Arabidopsis thaliana: one gene and its partners. The protein of the gene in region 3 interacts with the protein of the main gene of each other region in a pairwise test. Each region holds a gene or a part of one and is shown on either strand. Other genes may lie near its edges. The genes, in order: GPT, AT1G65720, PIN5 and PIP1C.

Region 1 (6,433 bases), on a different chromosome or scaffold from region 3:
GTTACATTTGAAATTCGTAACGTATAGTGTCTCTGTCTGTATGGATGCGTGACATGTAACGTTGTTACAATATATCTTGGTTATCTATATTTTATTTCTTACTAGATAAAGCCCGCCTAAATAAGCGGGTATAAGATGTAAATGTAATTTTTATCGATAATATTTAAATTTTGAATAGTAAAATAATAATCGATACATTGTTCTTGATATATAATTTTGAATAGTAAAATAGTAGTCTTATGCATTTTATTTTGTTATACCCATTCAATCTTATTGATGATATTTGAAGTCTAAATAGTAACCTACACACTTTTTCTTTATTGTAATTTAGTATTTAGAAGAAAAAATAAAATTTTATCTTATACATTCAATTTTGTAATACAATTTAACTATCTATTTCATAAAAAACTCGATTTTAATTTTACACACTTCATCTTACTTGATAATGATTTCATGTCAAAATAATATATATATATAAGATCAAATCTATATCTTAGTTAATATTAAAAATTATTAACAATTAACAAAACATAATTCATAATAATAAAACATTTGTTAATACCATATATATTAAAAATTTGACCAATAACATATATATATATTTTTTTTGTTAATTTTCCTTTTGGTTAAGAAAAATAAAATGTAATATTTTTTAGATATAGAAATATGAATTAGTATATGTTAATAATGATTTCTTTTTTTAGTTTTCTATTTCTTTAAGAAAAAAAAAGTTAATTATTTTCTTACACATGGCAACATCTGATCGATAGACTTGACACGTGGCATAATCTTATGAGTTAGTAACTTTGAAAACCATACTTTATATAATAAGATTTTTTTTTGTTAATTTTTCTTTTGGTTAAGAAAAATAAAATGTAATATTTTTTAGATATAGAAATATGAATTAGTATATGTTAATAATGATTTATTTTTTAGTTTTCTATTTCTTTAAGAAGAAAAAAGTTAATTAATTTATTTTTTAGTATTTCTATTTCTTTAAGAAGAAAATGGTTAATTATTTTCTTACACATGGCAACATCTGATCGATAGACTTGACACGTGGCATAATCTTATGAGTTAATAACTTTGAAAACCATATTTTATATAATAAGATGTTGATTTATTCTTACTTTTTTTGCTATATCTTTCCTTATATTTCATACTTAATATTTTTTTTTTGTTTCTAAGATACATACATTAACTCTCATATTTATTGTCTTAACTAAATTTTACTTTTATTTGTACACGTGGCTTCCCCCCACAATATTTTTGACCCAAATCCAAAAAAAAAAAAACACTATCAATAATATTTCCTCTTACCATTTATGTCTTACACACAAGTGTCAAAATATAGTAGAAGACATAGAAAATGTTTAGATTATGATTAAATATCACAAAACTTTTGTGACATAAATCATGATCCATATGCATCCAAGTTCTAATAATAGGTCGATTCGATCTTGTAAAAAAAAAAAGTAATTAATAGTAAAAGATTTTGTATTGAATTTTGAGATATTTTTCTCTCACTATAAAAAGATGAATTGTGTAGCTAGAGATCATAACAAACTCTGAGGAGATTCAAGCTAAGGTACATTTACAAAAACTTATTTTAAATTACAATGGGTTGTTGCATTTTCGAAACTGATCCTACAGACCAATAAGTACTATTCAGTTAATTTGAAAACACTTACAAAAAAAACTAAGATATAATTTAGCAACTTTAACATTTTTTATTATGTTTGTAGGGACATTAATGGGAAACTGGTGTAGTTGTGTAACAAAAGATGAAAATAGTGATAATTCTAGTAGCTCTCAAACTTCTACGGATAAAGAAAGTAGTGTGCAAGTTTCTTCTGTGAGCACTACGTCTTCTTCAGAGATTTCATCTGAATGTTCTTCTTCAAAATGATCATCTCAAAGCTCCCAATGATGGAAGCGTAACTAGTGAGCAAATGTCGCATGGATCATCTTCTTCATCTTATCAATAAAAAAATCTTCAAAATAAATAATTTTCTATGTCAATTTTTATATTAAAAGAAACTTTGTTAAAAATTATGACTATTAATTAATAACTATATTATTACATAATCTTTTAAATATAAGTTTTAGTTTTAATTTTTAATAGTTGCTTTATGTCATGCTGATGTGTTGCTACAACAAAATTCTTAGCAAAATTTATGCATTTTTTTCTTAAAAAAAGAGAGTTCTATAAGTATAATCCAAGATATATTCTTGTACTTAATACGAATAATTAAAGTTATGATTAATCCATAAAGTTCTATTTCGATGACACGGTGTCGTATTTGAAGCGACGTGGCAAATCCTTATTGGTCTATATGACGCAGAACGGGAATTGCTCTGAAGAATCCTTTCTCAGGCGAACGGAGTTTGGAGTCAAAATCCAGAGCGCGGGGAAACGAAACGAGCCAACAAATCCGCCATGGCAGCTCGTAAGAGAGCTTCATCGATCTCAATTCCCAACAAACCGGACCCGTCGGAACCCAACTCAGCGCCATCGGAGCAGAAGATGACCCGAAAGACGGTTTCTGCTTCCGGTGAGGAATTTCGTCTCGCGCCGCCGAAATTAGGAGTGATCTTCGTGATCTCTACTCTTCTCTGTTCGCTCTATCTATACCTTCTCTGTTTTCACTACAAGGTTGATAATGAGCTCAAGCGATCGATTCTAATTAACGCGGGGCTTAGCTTGGTTGGGTTTTTCGTCACTCTCAAAATGATTCCTGTTACTGCCAGATACGTTCTGAGACGTAACATGTTTGGTTTTGATATCAACAAAAGAGGCACGCCTCAAGGAGATATTAAAGTGTGAGTTTTTATCAATCTCTGATTTTCCAAAGATTAAGATTAGTTTGATTAAAATTTCTTCATCCTCTTTGTTTTCAGGCCAGAGTCATTGGGTATTGTTGTTGGTATTGTCTTTTTGATCGTGGCGATAATATTTCAGTATTTTAACTTCACTGAAGATTCTAATGTAAGTGTGCATTAACGTCTTGTTTTATTAATCTCTGTGGTTATTCTCATTATCAATGTTTGTGAGTCTGGCTGATGATTCTGTGCAGTGGCTTGTGGAGTATAATGCAGCACTAGCATCTATTTGCTTCATGATTTTGCTTGGATTTGTAGATGATGTCCTTGATGTGCCTTGGAGAGTGTAAGTCCTAATTCCTACATATTTTTTTGATGAAATTCACGCTTATCGTTTTTGATTCACATGTTTACTGTTGTCAATTTAAACAACAGAAAGCTTGTCCTGCCATCTTTTGCTACCCTTCCACTTTTGATGGCTTATGCTGGTCATACAACTATTGTTATACCAAAACCTCTTGTTGCTTATATTGGCTTGGAAGTGCTTAATCTAGGTAATGGTTCTTGTACATGATACCACCTATTTGTACACATTGACTTGTATTTTTCTTTTGAGGAGGTAAATGATTATGATTAGCTCAATAGATGTTTTAACGTGGCAGGAAGGATATATAAGTTATATATGGGGCTACTTGCTGTCTTTTGTACAAACTCTATTAACATCCACGCTGGTCTGAATGGCCTTGAAATCGGTCAAACAGTTGTTATTGCCGCTGCTGTAAGTCTTATGGTCATACATAATGTCTCTGAATTTTTCTCATTTTGTTTCTTTTGGGTTGAGATATGATGCATCCCAGTTACCTGTAGATCCTGATACACAACGTTATGCAAATCGGAGCATCTGTTGATCCCGAGTATCACCAAGCTCATGCCTTCTCGATATTTCTTACTCAACCGCTGATGGCCACATCCTTGGCAATGCTTGCTTACAATTGGTAAAATCCCTAGCAGGCTTTCTCTTTAAAACTTTTTTTTTTTGAGTGGAAGTAATGATATTTCTGACCAGTTCTCGCAATCTTCTGCTGTTAGGTATCCTTCTTCAGTTTTTGTTGGAGACACTTACACAGTCTTCGCCGGAATGACTATGGCAGTTGTTGGTATTCTGGGTCACTTCAGGTATACTTCCAAACCCACTTATCTTCTCTGAGGCACAGGCACTTCACTAATACATGGAAACTACCAACTCTTAGATTGATCATTTGCATCATATATCCAGCTACTGTATGACCATGCAACTGATTCCCATGCCATCTTTCTGTATTGAAATTTTGCTTCTGCAGTGAAACCCTCCTCATCTTCTTTCTTCCTCAAGTTCTGAACTTTCTATTATCGCTTCCTCAGGTTCATATCACCTTTTCACTCTTCTATGGCATACGTATAATCTTGTCAACTCATGTTTCAAAAATTTAACATACTATATATGATAACTCTTCAGCTTGCTGGGATTGTGAAATGTCCGCGCCATCGTCTCCCAAGGTAACCCCCTTTGTTTTCTTACCCTTTGTAGACTGATTAAAGAACAGACGCATCACTCATCTTGTCTTTTGAAAATATCCAGGTATGATCCTGCTACCGGATTACTGACCGGCACAAAAGATGGGACACTCGTCAATGTTTACTTGAGGTTGTTTGGTCCTAAATCAGAAAAGTCTCTTTGCATCCATCTTCTCGTTTTCCAGGTAGGTCTCAGATATATGTATATCGCCATTCGTATATAATGAAGTAGTCGCTTTAGTGTTGTCATACTCTGCTTGTTTTTGCTACAGGCTCTAGCCTGCGCCTTCTGCTTCATACTTCGACACTTTCTTGCTGGTTGGTATAAATAGTCTGCAATCAGAGAAGTCACAAATACAGAACATTACTTTAGTACCTTGTACAATCGTATATATCAACAATTTTTGTTAACGTGTTGAAGTATTCTCAAGTAAACAAAGTTCATTCATTTGCTTTTTGTTGAACGAAATGGCAAAATTTTCAAGACAATGTATCAGCATCCTGAGTTTCTATAATTCCCGACAAGAGATCAAATACAATTTAATGAGTTTCTCTAACAAGCTAATCTCGAAATCCCTAGATCCCAAGTTTTTTTTCTTGCACAAACATGAAAAATGAAACTAGAGATCTATGTCCATTGTTTCTTTCTCTTCGTCTTCATCATCATTTCCACTGCTTGTCCATAGCTTGATGGTGCGATCATGTGATACAGTAGCGATACACGAGCTATCTGCTGTGATATCTAGAGAGGCGACTTTTGACTCATGCCCTGCTAAGCTTTTAACGAGCGAGAAATCTCTTCCTGACCATATCTGGTAGACAAAATATAAGAAATTGGAATCAAACTATAAGCCAATGAAACAGAAGACTGAAAAAAAAAAAAATACTAAGGCAAGGGATTATAGAAGTAGTTACATTGACTTTCATGTCGTATGAGGCAGTGGCCAGAAAGTAGCCTTCTTGTGGCTCATACTTCACTTGAGACACAAGGTTAGCATGAGCTGGTATAATGTACAATGACTTTCTCATTCTTAGATCCCAAATACGGCATTGATTATCCTCCCCACCAGATGCCAAGTGATAACCATTAGGAGAGAAATTCACGGAGAAAACCTGAAGAAACATATAAAACAGAGGATATTAAAACAAGGGTTAGTAAATAATCACTTTTGCTTGGATACGAGGAGGACCAATGGAACAAAATTAGAATCTTACCGGTTTGATGTGTCCTTGGAAGACAAGAATACTCCTACCAGTGCGGAGATCCCAAACTCGTGCGAGTGAATCAAGCCCACAAGAAGCTGCTAATGCTCCATCTTGTTGAAATGCAATTCCGTAGACACTGCGGCTATGGCCTTCTTGCAAAAGCAGTTCTGCTCCTGTGTTTATATCCCACAATCTCCACGTCTTGTCATAGCTTGTAGTTCCCAGGTATTTCCCTGATGGGTGGAAAGCAACACGTGCCAGACGATCCAAATGACCTTCAAACGTTTGTAGGAGTGTTCCATCAGTTTTCCACAGCTTTGCAGTTCGATCAGCAGAAGCAGTCGCTAGACAATCATCCACTGGGGAGAACACTACATCAGTTGCACGTTCTTTGTGATCCTTCAAGACAGCAATCGTGTTTGTAACTTGAGGCATCTCCCACAATTTAGTAACTCCACTCAGAGAACTAGACAAAAAAAAAATCGATGAATTACTAAACAGAAGGGAACTATGTGAATCACACAAGTCATGAACCTAGAGAATGCGTAATGCAGTTAGAAAGGGCAAATGCAATAGACATGGAGTATGCTATCTATAAGATAAACTATAGGCCTAACTAACTTCATGGTTTTATAAAGGTGCAGTGTTTAAAAGTGAGGAAAATCAGCAAGTTCAGTGTTTAAGAACAGGATTATTAAGATACTTCTCTACTGATATATCAATGAAAATGAATATGCAGGTAGAATGCAATCTAGTCCAGGTAACTCTAATCAAATAGAGACGAGGAAAAATAGTTTCAAGCCTAAGAAACAATATGTGGAGAATATGTGAATTTGTGTTGAGAGTGAGA
Region 2 (5,048 bases), on a different chromosome or scaffold from region 3:
TTAACACTAGAGGGAAGAGAAGGGGAAGGTTTCTTGCTGAGACAGCAACCCATTTTGTGACAAAGAATTTTGAAGAACAGAGAGATTTTGAAGTAGAAGTGAGTCAAGAACAAGAGAGTTTTTAGGGGAATGTCTTTTGTGTAAGAAGACAAAAAGATTCAAAACTTCAAACTTTTTTGTTTGGTAATGCGATTTGTGACAGACAAAAGTTCTTTTATTTCAGAAAGTATTCGGATAGGACCCATTACTTTCTAAAATTAAGAAAAGTCGGGTGAAATTGTAAGCTTTGAAGAATAATGGGGTCAAAGTGGAATTAATTTATTTTATTAAAGATAGTAATTTTGAAATTGGAGCCGTTATACACACTGCAGTCAATGTCGTATTATCTCTGACCCTTTTTGCCTTTTTCAAAGCAAAATGGTTCTCTTCAAAAATTCTTTTAATAAGTTTTAGAATTCCAACGGTTATTTGCATGTTTGATGGTTTTGTTTGTTTACCAAAAGAATATGAGGTTACAAATTAGGATATGAAGAAATAAACATCAGTAGTTTCTATTGAAAATAAAATTTCGTTTTATGTATAAATAATTTACTGAGTTTGATTAATGATATTTGTTGTTAATCGAGTGCTTTCATTAATATTAACTCATGTGACCAAACTGAATGGTGATGTGCAAGTTTCTTCATATGTATAGTGGAGGACCCAAAAACAATTTTATTTTATTTTATCAGATAACTAAAATACTGAAAAAGAAACGATAAACAATTTCTTTTGAGGTAGTTTTTTTGAATATATATGTAGTTTTTTAAGAAAAGAGTACCAAGACAATTAGGTTCTTTTGAGGTAGTTTTTTAAGAAAAGAGTATATATGTAGAAAGCAAAATCTTGCACCATTTGTGTTGACAATCGAAAATCGGACCGATTTTGAGACATCTATAGATTCTATTACCAAGACAATTAGGTACTGGATTTTACATACATAAAACAACCTCAAATCAAATAGTAACATAACAAAGGATTGTTACAAGGCAAATAACTACTAGACTAGAGAGAATAAGGCACTTAATTGTTCCTCTGCATCCAAGACATCAACCTTTAAGCTATATACATACACAACGATGACCATTAGCAATAGAAACTAGAGACTCTCAATGCTTTGAAAGCTATGCAAATCAGAAATTAGTATCAATGAGAATCATCCACATATCCTGCGACCTACTTAAAAGGGTCTACCTACTAGGTAGTCAGAAATATAACAAGAAACAGAACAGAAACTAGACACTGCCTAAAGTTCACAATGCTTGAAAGCTATTAAACCACAAAATGGGGCAATAAGAACCATATATACAGATGACCATAAGCAATAGAACCTAGACACTCTCAATGCTCTGAAAGCTATGCAAAACTCAGATTGGGGTCAACCAGAGTCATCCCCATATCCTGCTACCTACTTAAAAAGTCTAGCTACTAGCTAGTCAGTAAGATTACAAGAAACGGAACCGAAACTAGACACTACCTTAAGTATGCAATGCTTGAAAGCTATTAAACAACAAAATGGGGCAATGAGAACCATACACACATATGACCATAAGCAATAGAAAACTAGACACTCCCAATGCTTGAAGGCTGTTCAAAACACAGATTGGTTAACGAGAATCAGACACATATCCTGCGACCTACTTAGGTTCTAGCTAATCAGTGCTTGAAAGAATGAAAGCTATTAAACCACAAAATGGGGCTATGAGAACCATACACATATCCTGCGACCAAGTTAGGTTCTAGCAAGTCAGAAAGAAAACAAGAAACAGACTTCTCGAGTCACGACCTTGGTTCCTTTGATGATCAATCCATTTAAGTATTAAGCTCCTAAACTAGTCACATTGGTATCAAAGATAATGAATAAATCCATAGGTAACATCATAATCACACTTATATATATCTAAGAAACATCAACTACAAATCGTAAAAACACTGATACTTAGAGTATAGTAAGTTTAGATAAATCCATAACAGAGACGAATTTACTTGTACGCAACAACATAGATAAGCAACAACGTAAATCATGATAATATGCAGAAACTGAAATTCACAACCTCAAATCAAGCAGCTTCCTTCACAGGAGCAGGAGCTGGAGCTGGAATCTTAACATAACCCAATTTCTTCAAGCTAGCAGCATCAGATTCATCATTCTCATAATCATCTTCTTCTTCCTCAAAATCATAGCTTTGACGATTCACAACAAGAGCCCAAACAAGATACATAGTAGCAGCGGTTAAAGCACCACAACCAACACCGAACAAAAGCGCGACGACGACGCTAAGAATATCTCTGGTTCGATCTCTAAACGAATTGATGTTATCAGAGATCAAAGGGAGGGAACGATCCGATTGGATCTGTGGCTTCTCGTGACGACGATTGACGAAGAAAGGAACCACGTGGTGAGGATTTAGACGACGGATTGTGAAAACGGTGACGAATCGTGTGGAGGTGAAATCGGATTCGAGGTTAGGGTTTTCTGGGGTTATTGAGAGGGAATATGAGGAGATTAGGAAGGTTTTGCAAGGACGTGCGGTGGTGATGGTGGTGATTGAGAGGAAAGCTACGACGGCGATCGCAAATCGGAGGTACGATGATGACGTCATTGTTATCGTCTTTGACTTCTTCTTCTTCTTCTGACGATTTTGAAGACAAACCTAACCCAAGAAGATTCGGTGAACGAAGAAGATTAAAAAGATTTTCTAAGATACGTGTTATTATGAAATAACCCCTCTACTTTTGTATTTGATCATATAGGTCCCTTTTATCTTCTTTTCTTATAAAAGGTGCCAAAATATTATTTAATTTTGACTTAACTATTTTAAGTCTAAATCTCATTATTTATACTCACATAAGCAAACAATAGATTTATTTCTCTATTTATCTAATTTTCAATAGGTTAATTGTTAATTGATATGAATTTTGTCCAAGTTATACAAGTTCTAATACCACAAATAGTTTGTGTAATATGTGAATAGTCTGAACCCACCTCGCATATAATCAAACTTCTAGTAGTTATAAATTCATAAGATTTTTGTTATTCTAAGCAAGTTAATGATGCATTCATGGTCAATATCAAGTTAACCATTTGTTTATTAATATAGTATAGTCAAACTTTCACATTTTATATTTATTAGTCAATATTAATAGCTAAGATTTTTTTACCTAATTATTATGGTTAGAGAATCTAAATGAAAATTCTATCTAGTCACTCATAGTCTCGTACCATAGAATAAGAGCACGACACTTTCGAATATTCCAACTTTTCTCTTATTTAAAATAATCCTCTCCTTTCTTGTAAACAAAGAGCTAGGTTAGACTTAAATTTAGCAGCGGTCACAGAGCGATAAAGGAAAAAAATGACGATCTCAAATGCCACGACATGACATGATAGAATCTTTGAGGCCAGCCATGAGCCCATGAGGATCATCCTTCGTGGCAAAGCCAGCTCACGTTTAGAGTCTTTAACAATGTAGTGAGAGAACATAAAAATGAAAATGTCAAATCGGTGTAAACGTTTGGACACATAGTTTTTATTTTTTTTGGTCTTTCCACATAAATAATTTGGTACTATTGAAAAGCGATAGAAATATTTTTTTTTTGGGAAAATTGTGGTAGAAAAAGTAAAATTCCCTTGTAATCTTTAATTATAAAAAATATTGGTTAATAGTTAAGTACTCCGAAATTAAAAGTAATTTGAAGAACAACTCACTATATAAACGACTATTGTTCTGAAATCAAATGTTCAAACAATATTTACGTGTATTTTCATTTTAATATTTTAATTCTTTTCAAAAAAACACATTTGCAACTAAAACTTAATTCTGTTAAGATTAATACAATCTACGACCCGTCATAATTGGCTCGTTTAACACGTAAACATGTCATAATCTAAATTCCAAAATCCATTTACGTATCAATTTAATTAACTCTAAATCCACACCAAAGAAAAAACTCAGATTTTACACTGTGTATACACACCACACCATAGTCCACGTGCACGTAGGTTAATTATTTATAAAAAAAACACATTTGACTTATAAATATAGAAATATTAAAACAGATTCGCTTCTCTCTCTCACTCACACAATAGAGAGAATCATTCAGTTACAAGAAAATCGTCCTCTTCTCTCGCCGATCTCTTCTCTTCAGATCCTCTCCTCTATAAAATCTCTCCCTCTCTCGTTCCCCTCCTCAGATCTGACTCAAATCAAATCAAAAACTCTCAGCTATGGAAGTCGAACGATCGAAGAAAGACGACGATCTAAACAATGGATCTAAATCCAACGAAGAAGAAGAAATCTCCGTGGAGAGAATCTTCGAAGAGAGTAACGAAATCCCACCGCCGTGGCAAAAACAGCTCACGTTCAGAGCTCTAATCGTGAGTTTCATACTCGCGATTCTCTTTACCTTTGTGGTGATGAAACTGAATCTAACGACTGGGATTATTCCGTCGCTGAATATCTCCGCCGGTTTGCTTGGTTTCTTCTTTGTTAAAAGTTGGACTAAGATTCTTAATAAAGCTGGTTTTCTTAAACAACCGTTTACACGGCAAGAGAATACTGTGATTCAGACTTGTGTCGTCGCCTCCTCCGGCATCGCCTTTAGCGGTACGTTTTTTTGTTTGTTGATGTGAACGCGTCGATGGAATTTGGTGTCGCCGTCTTTAATTTTGTTTCTATTTACGGCTAAAACTTTTTTGCTGTTAGGTCTCTATTGAAAATGACAGAGTATATACTTCTTTTTTGTGTTTATCGCTTTCTAAAAAAAAATATGAAAATTAAATAAACTATATAGTTGTTTAAAAAATATAATATGTGCAATAGTTAAAAAATTAAAACCGATCAAGTTAAAACCTAGACTAGGAAACTAATATCACACGATCTTTTTTGATAAAAATAAATGTGTATGGGTTTGATACTTCTTTGCAGTATGTCAAAATCAAGTGGATACTTCATACTTTCTTTAGTATGTCAAAATCAAAGTTGATTAGTGAGTGACGTGAGAGATTC
Region 3 (5,783 bases):
CACACACACACACAGACCCTCAAAGCTACAAACTTTGAGTCAACAAGATACAGAGGAAAGAACAAACACAGAAACAGAGTCAGTACCAGTTTCCGGTCGTGAGGATGATTGAATCGGCAAGTTGAACCAAACCTACAAAGTCCAGTCCTTATATAATAAGCACAATCTGGCTCTCCGTGACGTTCCGGATAAGACCCATCAACACCCATTGTATCATCTGATCCCAAGTTCATTTGCCACATTGCATCTAAAATTCACAAACCCAACCAAAACCCCACAACAAAAATTCAAGCTGAGGTTTTTAAGATTGAATCAGAACATCAGAGAGGGAATAAAGGATGGTACTTTGGTTAAGCAATGGGGAAAGAAAAGTGCTTTCCCGAGAAATGGAATCAAAATCCATGGAGATGATGAAGAACAATGGCTGTGTCGGTGATTATTAAGCATTAAGAACACACCATAATTCTCTCACTCTAAGAGATTTTCCGATGGGAAGTCCCATCGTTTCTCTTGCTCCCAGGAATCGTCTTCCTCCGATTGTGGAGGGGTTAGAGGAAATGGCAATGCAGGAAGACATTAGAGAATTAGAGATCACGTCTAGAGAGAGAAAGCAGAGAGAGATTGGGAAGAAAGTGTTGCGTTCTCTTCTCTCCTCCACACAAAAGAAAGAAAAAAAACTAAAGAGATTCGGTAAGAAAAACGAATTCGAAAAGACTAAATTACCCCTTTTATCTTCATATTGATTCGGTTGAGGAGAAAGAATAATTTATTTCATAAATCCTGATTTGGTTAGTATGTATGATCATGAATCAAATAATAACAAGATTTTATTTGATCTCTAACCTGAATTTCGTTTCATTTATTCTTTTTTTTTTTTTGTTAACAAAAAAAGGGCTTATAATATTTAGTGTACGTATTAAAACAATTTTAGATCCGAACATGATGTATTTTCATTTATAGAGTTTTTATCTTTTCTTGATACGTATATGTGAACAAAATACTAAATTATGCATACTACGAAAATAAAGAGAGCTTAAGAAAGTATAAAATTAAGCATAAACTAGGTTAATTCATTCAGTTAATGGTTTTCATATCTCGAATATACTTCAAAATCTCCTTTAGGAGGAAAGTGTAAAAGAGATAACAAAAAAAAAAACTTGTGAAAGATGAACAAAGGGTAATATTGATGATATAATCGAATTTATTAGTTTAATCAATGAATAAACTCCAGAGCTGCGTAGTAGGCGACGAGCACAGGTAGAGAGACCAACATCCCAAATATCACCCTACATTTATCAAAATTTTAATTTAATTTCATATTACCATTTTCTTCTTAAATAGACTGAATTTTTAAAATTTGGACTTACGCTGTGCTTAGAACATCTGCATGTAATCCATATTCCTTAGCAAAAATGAACGAAGTAATCGATTGTGGCAAAGCAGCCTGTAAATTTCATATAAATATTAATGATATATTAAACTGAAAAATATAAAGTTAGTATCTTAGTGGATGAATGAATGGAAAATGATCTACTTTTTTTTTTATATACAAACTTCAGTAGAATTAGGGTACAAAAGGATAAAGTAGAATTTATGACCTGAATGATGGCTACGCGGAGGACATCACCGTGGAGGCCAAGGACAATAGAGCCGATGGCCATGGCCGCCGGTCCGGCAATAAACTTCAATACCATTCCCATCACAGTCAAGCTTGTTCCACATACTATCAACTTTTCTTGAAGTGCCATGAATATTCCTGCGTATATATGCATGTATTCACTGTTATCTCAATACTGATACGTAATCTTTACGTATAGAAAGATACTTGCATGGACATAAATAAACGTACCCATATTGAACATGGCCGTTCCTGTTCCTGCTTTTGACATTATAAGAATCGAACCCTCTAATATGCCCGGCAGCTCCAGATGCCATCTATATTTCCAATTAATTTCCATCAATTATTAGACTTAAGTCTTTATTTGTTAGCCAAGAGTATACAAAACACTAATCAAAACCCTAAACCCAAAATTCACACTAAAACAAATAAAATAGAAATTTGGTCAAAGACTCTAATATTCAGATTAAAATCATGATTAGTTTATTTGCATGTACATGTCACGTTTGCAAATTATGTTACCATGTTAAAAATGTCCTAGTCATTTGTCACATGGAAATATAAACGCAAATGCAAAGAAACAATCGTGACCTATATTTCTGTCAAAATTTTAACTATAGATCATCAGGCGCTACACAGAAAAGTAATAATTTAGATGGTTTAAACGTCAAACTATAGATATTTTTAGGCAATTTTAACGGTTGCCTCGGAGTAAGGGGTGGAATTAATGTAGTCTCCTGAGTCCCTGATCACACATACTAATTAACACTTTGTTAAACATCTTATAGGTACCAATATAAAGTTTAATTAAAGATTCATTTTTACCTGTTAGAAATAAAAGCCCATGCGATCCCAAGGATGCAAGAATAGCAATTTGGATTCGTTGCAAGCTTCAACCAAACGAGGGACATGACCTCAAGGAACGACTTCTCTCCCACAACCACAGTTTCTCTTTTTCCACTTTCGATATTGATGTTGTCTACTTGTACGTCGCTGATATTATTACTACTAAATCCGGCTTTTCTAAACTCTAAGACAAACAACAAGAGTGTGAGCCACACGATGGCTTGAAATACCGAGGATTGAACCACCAGATCAACAGCCTGTTGTCCGTACATTGCCTTAGCCAATGGCACACCAACGACAAGAGAGTTAGTAAGAGTGCATAGAGAGAAACTAGTAATGGACCAACAATAGCTTCCTTTGTTGCTATATTTGGCCCACAACGCTAAGACCGTGACTATGATGACCTTAGAGAGGACATCGGCCGCGATGAACCGGTAATTCATGTTGAACGGGTCGACATGGGCCGTGAACTCAATGGTGAAGAGCGGCAGGGTGAAATAGCAAACGAGACGGTTTATAGCATCACATTGATCACGCGTGAAGATGTGCCACCATTTCACAGAGCCATAGCCTAAGATTAAGGCTACATAGAGTGGAACCATTGCTTCGATTACCTTGTAAACATCTCCACAATTTATCATGGTTTTATCAGAAAAATAGAAATGTTGCAGTAGTAGCAAACGAAAGGAAAGAAAACAAAGCTTCTAAATTCGTTCGTAGATAGTAAATGTGTTACGATAGAGAAACCAACATGTTCATATTTATAGATAAATTTTTAATTGTTTTATTTGTTGTAGAAAAAAGATAGGTAATGAGATATCCATGAGTAATATTCAAACAAAAGTAAAGTTTAGATATAAATTAAACAATAATATTTTTTTCTTCGGAATATGATTACGAATATTTATAAATAATTTGGCTAAATTCCTATAGAATAGATACAATTGAAATTTGAGTCTAAATATTTAGATAAAAAAATTAAAATCAACCTCATATTTTTAGCCATTAGTTTAATTGAGAAACAAGAGAGTTATCGTTATCAATATAATTGACCAGACCGTGCCGTGGCATATGATTCTATTCCAATTGTTTCCTGTAAATAGTGAGTGTAGTGTTTGTGTATGACGTAAACATTTCTTTCAATATTTGACTATATTAATTAATGGTAATGTCGCAGAATAAAGAATGAGGTTGCAGCTTTAGCACCATAACTAGAAGATCGTCTCGACCAATATATGTTTTTGGCTGTCGTAACTCGTCGCCACAACACATGAGACTAACCAAATAATATATTTTCAATAATTTATTCGAAATATTTGCTTAATCGTTTTTTTCTTAATCTTAATATTTATATTTATTAACCACTTTCATAAAATGGGAGCAGAACTATGCTAGTGCATGTAATATAAGTAAAGTGCATGGAATAGTTTGTATATATGCCGAAATGGGTATTTGTGCCCTACGACCTGGCGATAGCAACCAATTTCATAACCGACAAAGAGAGATTTCTTATAAGAAAATGAATTTCACTTACTTATACCTAGTGATGATTTGAATGTTTCAATATATTCATGGTTTAAGAAATAACATGTCATGGGTTTTAGAATATGTTAATATATAGATAGATAGAGAAGTCTACAAATAACTTACTTACTTTTATCTTAAACCATGTTTTACGTTGTTTTTTATGTTTCGTTCGATAAAAAATCATATGGCCATGTCTTTCTTCTTTGTTAAAATATCAAAGAACCATATTATACTACGAGCTAGCGAAAAATCTATCATCGTGAGGATTGAGGAAGCCATTCAAGAACTACAAAAGTTTACAGAAAAATTTGTACCTCGTGCTCTTGTCCTTTCTTGCTAGACAACAAATTTATTATTTGCCTTCTGGACTCTAATATAATCACAACAACACATATTGCTAGGTGCAATATCATCATATTAGCACTTTTTAATTCTATGGTATATTTTTGTTTTGTAACCATATATATTGTCCATTCACAAAGTCTTTTCTATTACACATATTCATGATGAGAAAATTGATTTGATCTAATTACTAGAGAATCATGCAGAGGCATAAAATGATCTGGAAAGCATTTATTTATCATTTGATTTGATAATAACATTTTATGGAAACACCTATCTTTACCAAAGATTTGGAACAAATAGAAAAACATAAGCAAACAAATATATATAGTCGGACTAAAACAAAAACAAAAAGGGGGATTTGACTGATGGAACAAAAGTTAAAATCGGTGGATTAGAAATCTGTGAAAACGTGGAGGATGCTTATTCACTGGTGAAATTGAGGGATCATATATAAATATGAATAATAATGCTAGTAGAATAAGTTCTATTTATCACTTGATGATTACAAATCTATAATATGCTTTCAAATTTCTCTCCTGATGTGTTGATATATATTACAGTCTTTTTAATATCAAAAAGGTTTTTGTCTTCTCTCATTCATTCATTCATCGTTAATACTTTTGTTTTTGTGTGACATATTTTCATTATTCTTCTTGAATTATGTCAGAAATAGCTAGCTAGCACGATTGGAAAGTTTATTCAAAATCCATCTTATTTGTTTTGTACTTTTGACGTCATGAATATTATGTTGATGTTTTTTCCCAAACCACAAAAACAAAACAATCAAAGTTTTTCAGACCAGAAAACACTATATGTTGGGGTTTATACTGTTCTTCCTAAATTAGAGTTCGAATTCAAGAGTAGTGATCATATAACTTTCGTTTTCCTTTCAATCTTTCATAAACGAATCCAAGTACCAAGTTAAATGCATGGTTACGTATTATATACTATATATAAATGTAATCATGTTAATGTTACAAATCAAATCAGAAGAAACAAAGTTATACATAAAGGAGAGGATGTTTTGATTTTGGTCGAAAAGAAGTTCAACGTCAATCATTGAAAGAATGAAGTAAATAGCAGCCAATAGAAAGGGAAACCAAACTACAAACATATCAATATTACATAATTTTTTAAATATAATTAATTATCCATATCCACACACTAATCTTTCATTCAAATTCCATATTAAAAAAAAACACAGAAGAATTATTCTTAAAGGCAAATTTGTTCTTTAGACTTATGAAAAGAGGAAACTCCTCCAAGTGCAGGTGGAATAAATCCTCTGTTTGAAACGACTTCACTACTGTATTATTTCTTAATTTATTTTGTGGCTCACAATAATCTGTTCCTTCATTGCTTCGTCACTCAATATATGCTACAGCACCTACTTGTTGTACTCTTCTGCTTCACATCTCGTGTTTTTATTCTGGAAACATTCGTTTTT
Region 4 (5,389 bases), on a different chromosome or scaffold from region 3:
ATTTGGAGTTAAGTGGATTATTAGCAATATTTTCCTTTATTAGTGATAATTGCTAAAAACCTAAATGTTTGTTTCAAAAGATATGATAGGCGAATTAAAGGAAGTAACCTGCAAAGTGGAAAGAGCAGCAAGGTAGCCACGGATGTCACAATTAGAATATCCCCAGCCTTGCAGATCTCCAATTGCTACGAATTTCTCTTGACCTCTCGGCATTCTAACATGACAACATTCAAACAAACAAAAAAAGAGCATTAGCATAAATGGTTTCTTATATACCCACACTAACTTAATGTATGTAGTAATATTATTATTATTCACCTAGCACAAATCTTCTCGAGCGTGTAGACAACAAAACGCTTGAACTCGTCAGGGTTGCCTTTGGAAGGGTTATGTCTGTTCCCAATGGCAACAGCGATAGGTCGACCCATCTTGTCATGACCTTGCATACACATCTTGTTATGCGATAGATCATTTGCAATCTCTGCTTCTGGTATGTGCCCCTTTGGGAGCATGCTTCTCTTCCAAGTCAGGTAATTTAGAAACATCGTTGAAGCCTTTTCAATGTCCAGGTCACGCGCTCTCAGAAACCTCCTTATCATCAGATCATCCACCTCCTGCAAATCCAAATCATTAGGGCTTTTATCAAATCAATACTTTTCTGGTTGAATTCTTTTTTTACTTAAAGAAATCGATAGGGACCTTAGTTTCAGGATCTTGTCGGTCGCAGAGAGCTCTCATGATCCCGACTTTGCTCCTCTCGATCTCATCTTCGATCAACGGAACGGTCTTTTGCTCAGCTGCTGCTGCTGGTTCTTGCTTGGTCTCTTTGTTTTCCATTACGTTTCTCCTGTGAGCGACGACCAGATCTTGAAATTGGTAGAGAGAAGAAAGAAGTAGGATCGATCATAAATGAAGACAGCTGCTGAGAGAAAGATTTTAAGTGTCATTCAATGCAAAGTTGGGCTGCTTTCCCCTTCAATGGCGACGCTCACCAACTACTCTCTTCCTTACAAAAATTCTACTCATTTATTGACTAATCCCAGGTCCCCGACTCTACAGGAAGAAGACGATTATATCGTATTGGGCCTTATTAGAGCCTATTGGGCTCGAGTTGATTTGTCGTAAAGACTTGGTCTGTGGTTTAATCAATCTCTCATGCCTCAAAGTGTTGACTGATTCAGAGGCCGTTTTAGTGTTTTGAGCCCACGTCAGAAGCTTGTCTGTCGTCTGTGTGTATAAAACAAAATTCAATTCACGATTTTTTAAAATATTGATCGTATCTTTTTCCACATGTATGTAAGCAATGAAGGATCTGCTTCGTTGCAAAATATTAGTTTTTCTTTTGATAGGCATGTACCAACTAAGTACCAGCTACGTACACAGACAAAGTCAGTAACAATTAAAATTCATCAACCTAGTCATTGCTTGTTCATCAATCAACCTAATCATTTGTTTGCTTGTTAAATAACAATGCCAACGTTATTATTTCTATTTCTATACTATCATACATTCATACGGTCCACGCCTCTAACAAAAAAAGATATTGATAAAATTTAAAAGATAGATAATTCGATGAAATGAATTATAATGAAATGTGATTTGTACAACTGAGAAAGGATGTCATATACGGACTTTGGTCGGGACCGCCCCAGTAAACACCACCAACACATATTTGCCTCTTCAACCACGTGTCGTGATTCTGTTGGTTGGGCAGCTAGACGACTGTGATGTGTGTGTGTGGGTTGCGTTTCGAAAAATGGCAAACCCCACCACTAGTTCAATAAAAGGTGTTTCTTAATCATATAGTTTAGCTTCGGATTATTTGTTTCCCTTTTCAGTTTTTTAAAAATCGATATCTACAATAGAGTTAATCTGTTTATAAATTCAATTATTGTTCGGGTAAGACAACATCAACAAAACTAATAGGGTTTGAATCCTAAACACTAAACTCCATTTAACTAGTAAAGTATGGCTCATATAGCGTTAAAAATATGTGAATTGATAACAACAACAGAGTTTTGAATTTTATTTTTGTTAGGTTTGAATAGATTGATAGAAAAAGGAAAGTGGGAATAGGGAAACGAACATGTGATCACAGAAAAGCAAAATCCATTTCTGAGCTGGAAACCCCCGCAAAATTGAACCTTATCTCCAATTTTCATTTTCTTTTTTTCTAAAATATATATCGTTTAATTGAAAAACCTCAAATTCACAATCATTGTGATTATTTTGTCACTAGTAGTACACATAGTAATTTAATTAAACATTTTAAAAATACTCTAGGCCCGGCACAATGTTCGAGACTATGTTACTTTACATAAAGCAATCGCTTTCCACACACTTCTTTTCCTTTTCTTCTCCAACGGTCGGAAGTAAATTATTAATTCGTCGACTAGTCAAAAAGTTAGTCCTTTGTGAGTTTTCTGGCACTGTAATATTTTTTTTTACATTTCTAACTGCTGACTGAGTAGTACTCCTGTAGCAAGGCATTTGAGAATAAATTAGGTCAAACATGCTATCTTTATAAGGAGTTTCAGAATATAATACTAATAGTTAGCCAACGCAACAGAATTAGTATAAGCGTGGGTTGTGTTACATGATTAAACATCATCAAGTAGTAGGCTATTACAATTATTAACGTAAATAAATATGCTTTTACGAAGATCATCGTTATCCATGATTCCCTGTATTTCTCATTATTTAAATATATCATAATAGTTTCGAGACGTTAGTTTTTTTTGCTTTTTCTATTCTCTCTCTCTCTCGCCTCTATAAAACCATTCTTTCTCTATCTCAGCCACTCTCATTACCCATTGTAGAAAAGAAGAAAAAAAGCAAAGAACACTTGAACGTTTTCTAGATAGAGATGGAAGGGAAAGAAGAGGATGTTCGAGTGGGAGCTAACAAGTTCCCGGAGAGGCAACCGATAGGTACATCGGCTCAGACGGACAAAGACTACAAGGAGCCACCACCAGCTCCATTTTTCGAGCCAGGCGAGCTGAGTTCGTGGTCCTTCTACAGAGCCGGAATCGCCGAGTTCATAGCCACCTTCCTGTTTCTATACATAACAGTATTGACAGTGATGGGAGTGAAGAGAGCACCAAACATGTGTGCCTCTGTTGGAATCCAAGGCATTGCTTGGGCTTTCGGTGGCATGATCTTTGCCCTTGTCTACTGTACTGCTGGAATCTCTGGTAACCCCATTTTTTTTATCTTCTTAATACAAGTAGAATTGGTCTTTTGTTGCATGCTTCAAACCCTTGTAGCTCTGCTTTTAGTTTTCGATTTTTCTCAAAGAGATCTTAATTTAGAGTTGATTCTGATGAGTGTGTGTGTGTGTGTGTTTCACAGGTGGGCACATAAACCCAGCGGTGACATTTGGTCTGTTCTTGGCTCGTAAGCTGTCATTGACGAGAGCTGTCTTTTACATCGTGATGCAATGTCTCGGAGCCATCTGCGGCGCCGGAGTTGTCAAAGGCTTCCAGCCAAATCCTTACCAAACTCTCGGCGGAGGAGCCAACACAGTCGCTCACGGCTACACTAAGGGCTCTGGTTTGGGTGCTGAGATAATCGGAACCTTCGTCCTTGTCTACACGGTCTTCTCCGCCACTGACGCCAAGAGAAGCGCTCGTGACTCCCACGTTCCGGTATAATTTTGTTTTGATTCCTCTTAATTTATTGTTTTGGGTGTTTAGAAAAAGATTCATAATTTAGGGTTATTTTTTTTGCAGATTTTGGCACCACTCCCAATCGGATTCGCTGTGTTCTTGGTTCACTTGGCGACGATTCCAATCACCGGAACAGGAATTAACCCAGCTAGGAGTCTTGGAGCTGCAATCATCTACAACAAGGACCACGCTTGGGACGACCACGTGAGTACCCCATTACATCATTTGGTTGATTTGTCTTTCTATATGTCTTTGTCACTTTGGTTTGATTGTGGTTTGATTGTGGTTTGCAGTGGATATTCTGGGTCGGACCATTCATTGGAGCAGCTCTTGCGGCTCTTTACCACCAACTTGTCATCAGAGCCATTCCATTCAAGTCCAGATCCTGATTTGATTTCTTTCTTTATAAAACTTCATTGTTGCATCTTGGTTTGTAATTGAGCTTGAAAATATTTGAGAGATCTGGATCATGTGTTTATTTTAATTAATGGACTTGTCTTTTTCTTATTTGCTGTGGATGATCTGGTTTTATCGTTAAATGGAGTTTGATATTATGATTGATTTGGTACGATTTTAATTTTGCTTTTGTCGTTAGACTCGAGAAATTTTCAAGAGGAATTTGTTAATTTGATTTTCTTCTGGTTTGGTTCGGTACAAATTGAGTAAGATCCATATTGTTTCGGCTTGGTTTCTCGGGTCATCGACTCAACTAGTTTACGTGGTATTTAGCCCATATTTACATTGGGCCTCTTGCGCACTCTTTATGGGCCACGTTAACCAAGTGGGTATTAAGCCCATTTACATTGGGCCTTTTTCGCACTCTTTATGGATACAACTAGTATCCCATAATATGTCCATCAACGGCATCACTCCACCTTAATTTGTTGCGATAGATAGCCAACCAAGTTGAGATAAAACATTCTTACTTATTCTACAATAACCTCGTCAAAGTGGATTACCTACCCACTGCTTCACACCTTTTTTTTTTTTTAGTTTTTACTTTTCAGTTTCATATCTTCAAAGTGAATGTTTATGATAAGTTTGTTATCTTCTTGGAAATAAATTCTATTTCATAATTTTCATTGTACATAATTGCATGCATATTTTGGTAATTTATCTCAAACACACATATATGTATACACGCATAAGTCACTTTTCTTTGTAAGCTAAGGTTCACGTGATGCAGTTTCAATTTCCATAGCGTGTAAGTAGTTATTATACTCATACTAGGGGAATACTGTTACACTCATATCCGTAAGTATGAATGCATATGGCTCAATGGCTCTCCAACTCCCAACTATTTTACCGTTTTATTAATATACCATTGACATTTGAGTGACCATCCATGATACGCGGACAAAGAAAAAGAAAACCGTCTTAATCCCTTAATTATTATAAATTAAGGAGTTAATTATTTAAACCTAGTATAAAGTCAATTAACTCAATTAGCATTATAACTCTGTCGACGGCTCCTTGATACGTAAATATTGCAATCAAAATTAAATGCTACCAATATATAAAAGTCATTTTCATATAATTAACTTGGTCAGGCGGCCGTCGACTTTAATGTTTCACGTATAGTTGGATACTATATAGTATATACACACAATGCCAACCCACATATTATAAATTTATAATAACTCACCCAATTAATTATACAGCCTTCCATTTAGGTGAACTACTAAACTACTTTCTTTCATGTCAATCAACAAAAAGAAAGT

What was found.
Region 1: the proteins of PIN5 (region 3) and GPT interact in a protein complementation assay, tested with the Arabidopsis thaliana proteins (one large-scale study listed by BioGRID).
Region 2: the proteins of PIN5 (region 3) and AT1G65720 interact in a protein complementation assay, tested with the Arabidopsis thaliana proteins (one large-scale study listed by BioGRID).
Region 4: the proteins of PIN5 (region 3) and PIP1C interact in a protein complementation assay, tested with the Arabidopsis thaliana proteins (one large-scale study listed by BioGRID).

The regions. Positions count from the first base shown.
Region 1 is NC_003071.7:17,299,322-17,305,754, forward strand, and holds GPT (UDP-glcnac-adolichol phosphate glcnac-1-p-transferase), read left to right. Parts: upstream 1-2,250; 5' UTR 2,251-2,440; coding exon 2,441-2,823; intron 2,824-2,901; coding exon 2,902-2,989; intron 2,990-3,077; coding exon 3,078-3,169; intron 3,170-3,258; coding exon 3,259-3,377; intron 3,378-3,485; coding exon 3,486-3,601; intron 3,602-3,690; coding exon 3,691-3,818; intron 3,819-3,912; coding exon 3,913-3,999; intron 4,000-4,163; coding exon 4,164-4,224; intron 4,225-4,318; coding exon 4,319-4,359; intron 4,360-4,441; coding exon 4,442-4,562; intron 4,563-4,649; coding exon 4,650-4,709; 3' UTR 4,710-4,890; downstream 4,891-6,433. Other genes in the region: LIS (WD-40 repeat family protein / small nuclear ribonucleoprotein Prp4p-like protein), read right to left, coding at 4,998-5,189, 5,293-5,490, 5,593-6,049.
Region 2 is NC_003070.9:24,438,372-24,443,419, forward strand, and holds AT1G65720 (uncharacterized protein), read right to left. Parts: upstream 2,703-5,048; 5' UTR 2,643-2,702; coding exon 2,100-2,642; 3' UTR 1,281-2,099; downstream 1-1,280. Other genes in the region: AT1G65710 (serine/arginine repetitive matrix-like protein), read right to left, coding at 1-53; YSL7 (YELLOW STRIPE like 7), read left to right, coding at 4,268-4,646.
Region 3 is NC_003076.8:5,398,057-5,403,839, reverse strand, and holds PIN5 (Auxin efflux carrier family protein), read right to left. Parts: upstream 3,201-5,783; 5' UTR 3,106-3,200; coding exon 2,444-3,105; intron 1,936-2,443; coding exon 1,850-1,935; intron 1,757-1,849; coding exon 1,599-1,756; intron 1,445-1,598; coding exon 1,368-1,444; coding exon of another isoform or gene 1,364-1,367; exon of another isoform or gene 1,287-1,363; coding exon 1,214-1,286; 3' UTR 995-1,213; downstream 1-994. Other genes in the region: ZFN3 (zinc finger nuclease 3), read right to left, coding at 87-247, 346-403. UniProt on the Arabidopsis thaliana protein: Auxin transporter regulating intracellular auxin homeostasis and metabolism. Mediates the auxin transport from the cytosol into the lumen of the endoplasmic reticulum. May also act as an auxin efflux carrier when located to the cell membrane.
Region 4 is NC_003070.9:224,654-230,042, reverse strand, and holds PIP1C (plasma membrane intrinsic protein 1C), read left to right. Parts: upstream 1-2,499; 5' UTR 2,500-2,866; coding exon 2,867-3,194; intron 3,195-3,351; coding exon 3,352-3,647; intron 3,648-3,731; coding exon 3,732-3,872; intron 3,873-3,961; coding exon 3,962-4,057; 3' UTR 4,058-4,378; downstream 4,379-5,389. Other genes in the region: AT1G01630 (Sec14p-like phosphatidylinositol transfer family protein), read right to left, coding at 109-214, 319-614, 700-837. UniProt on the Arabidopsis thaliana protein: Water channel required to facilitate the transport of water across cell membrane. Its function is impaired by Hg(2+).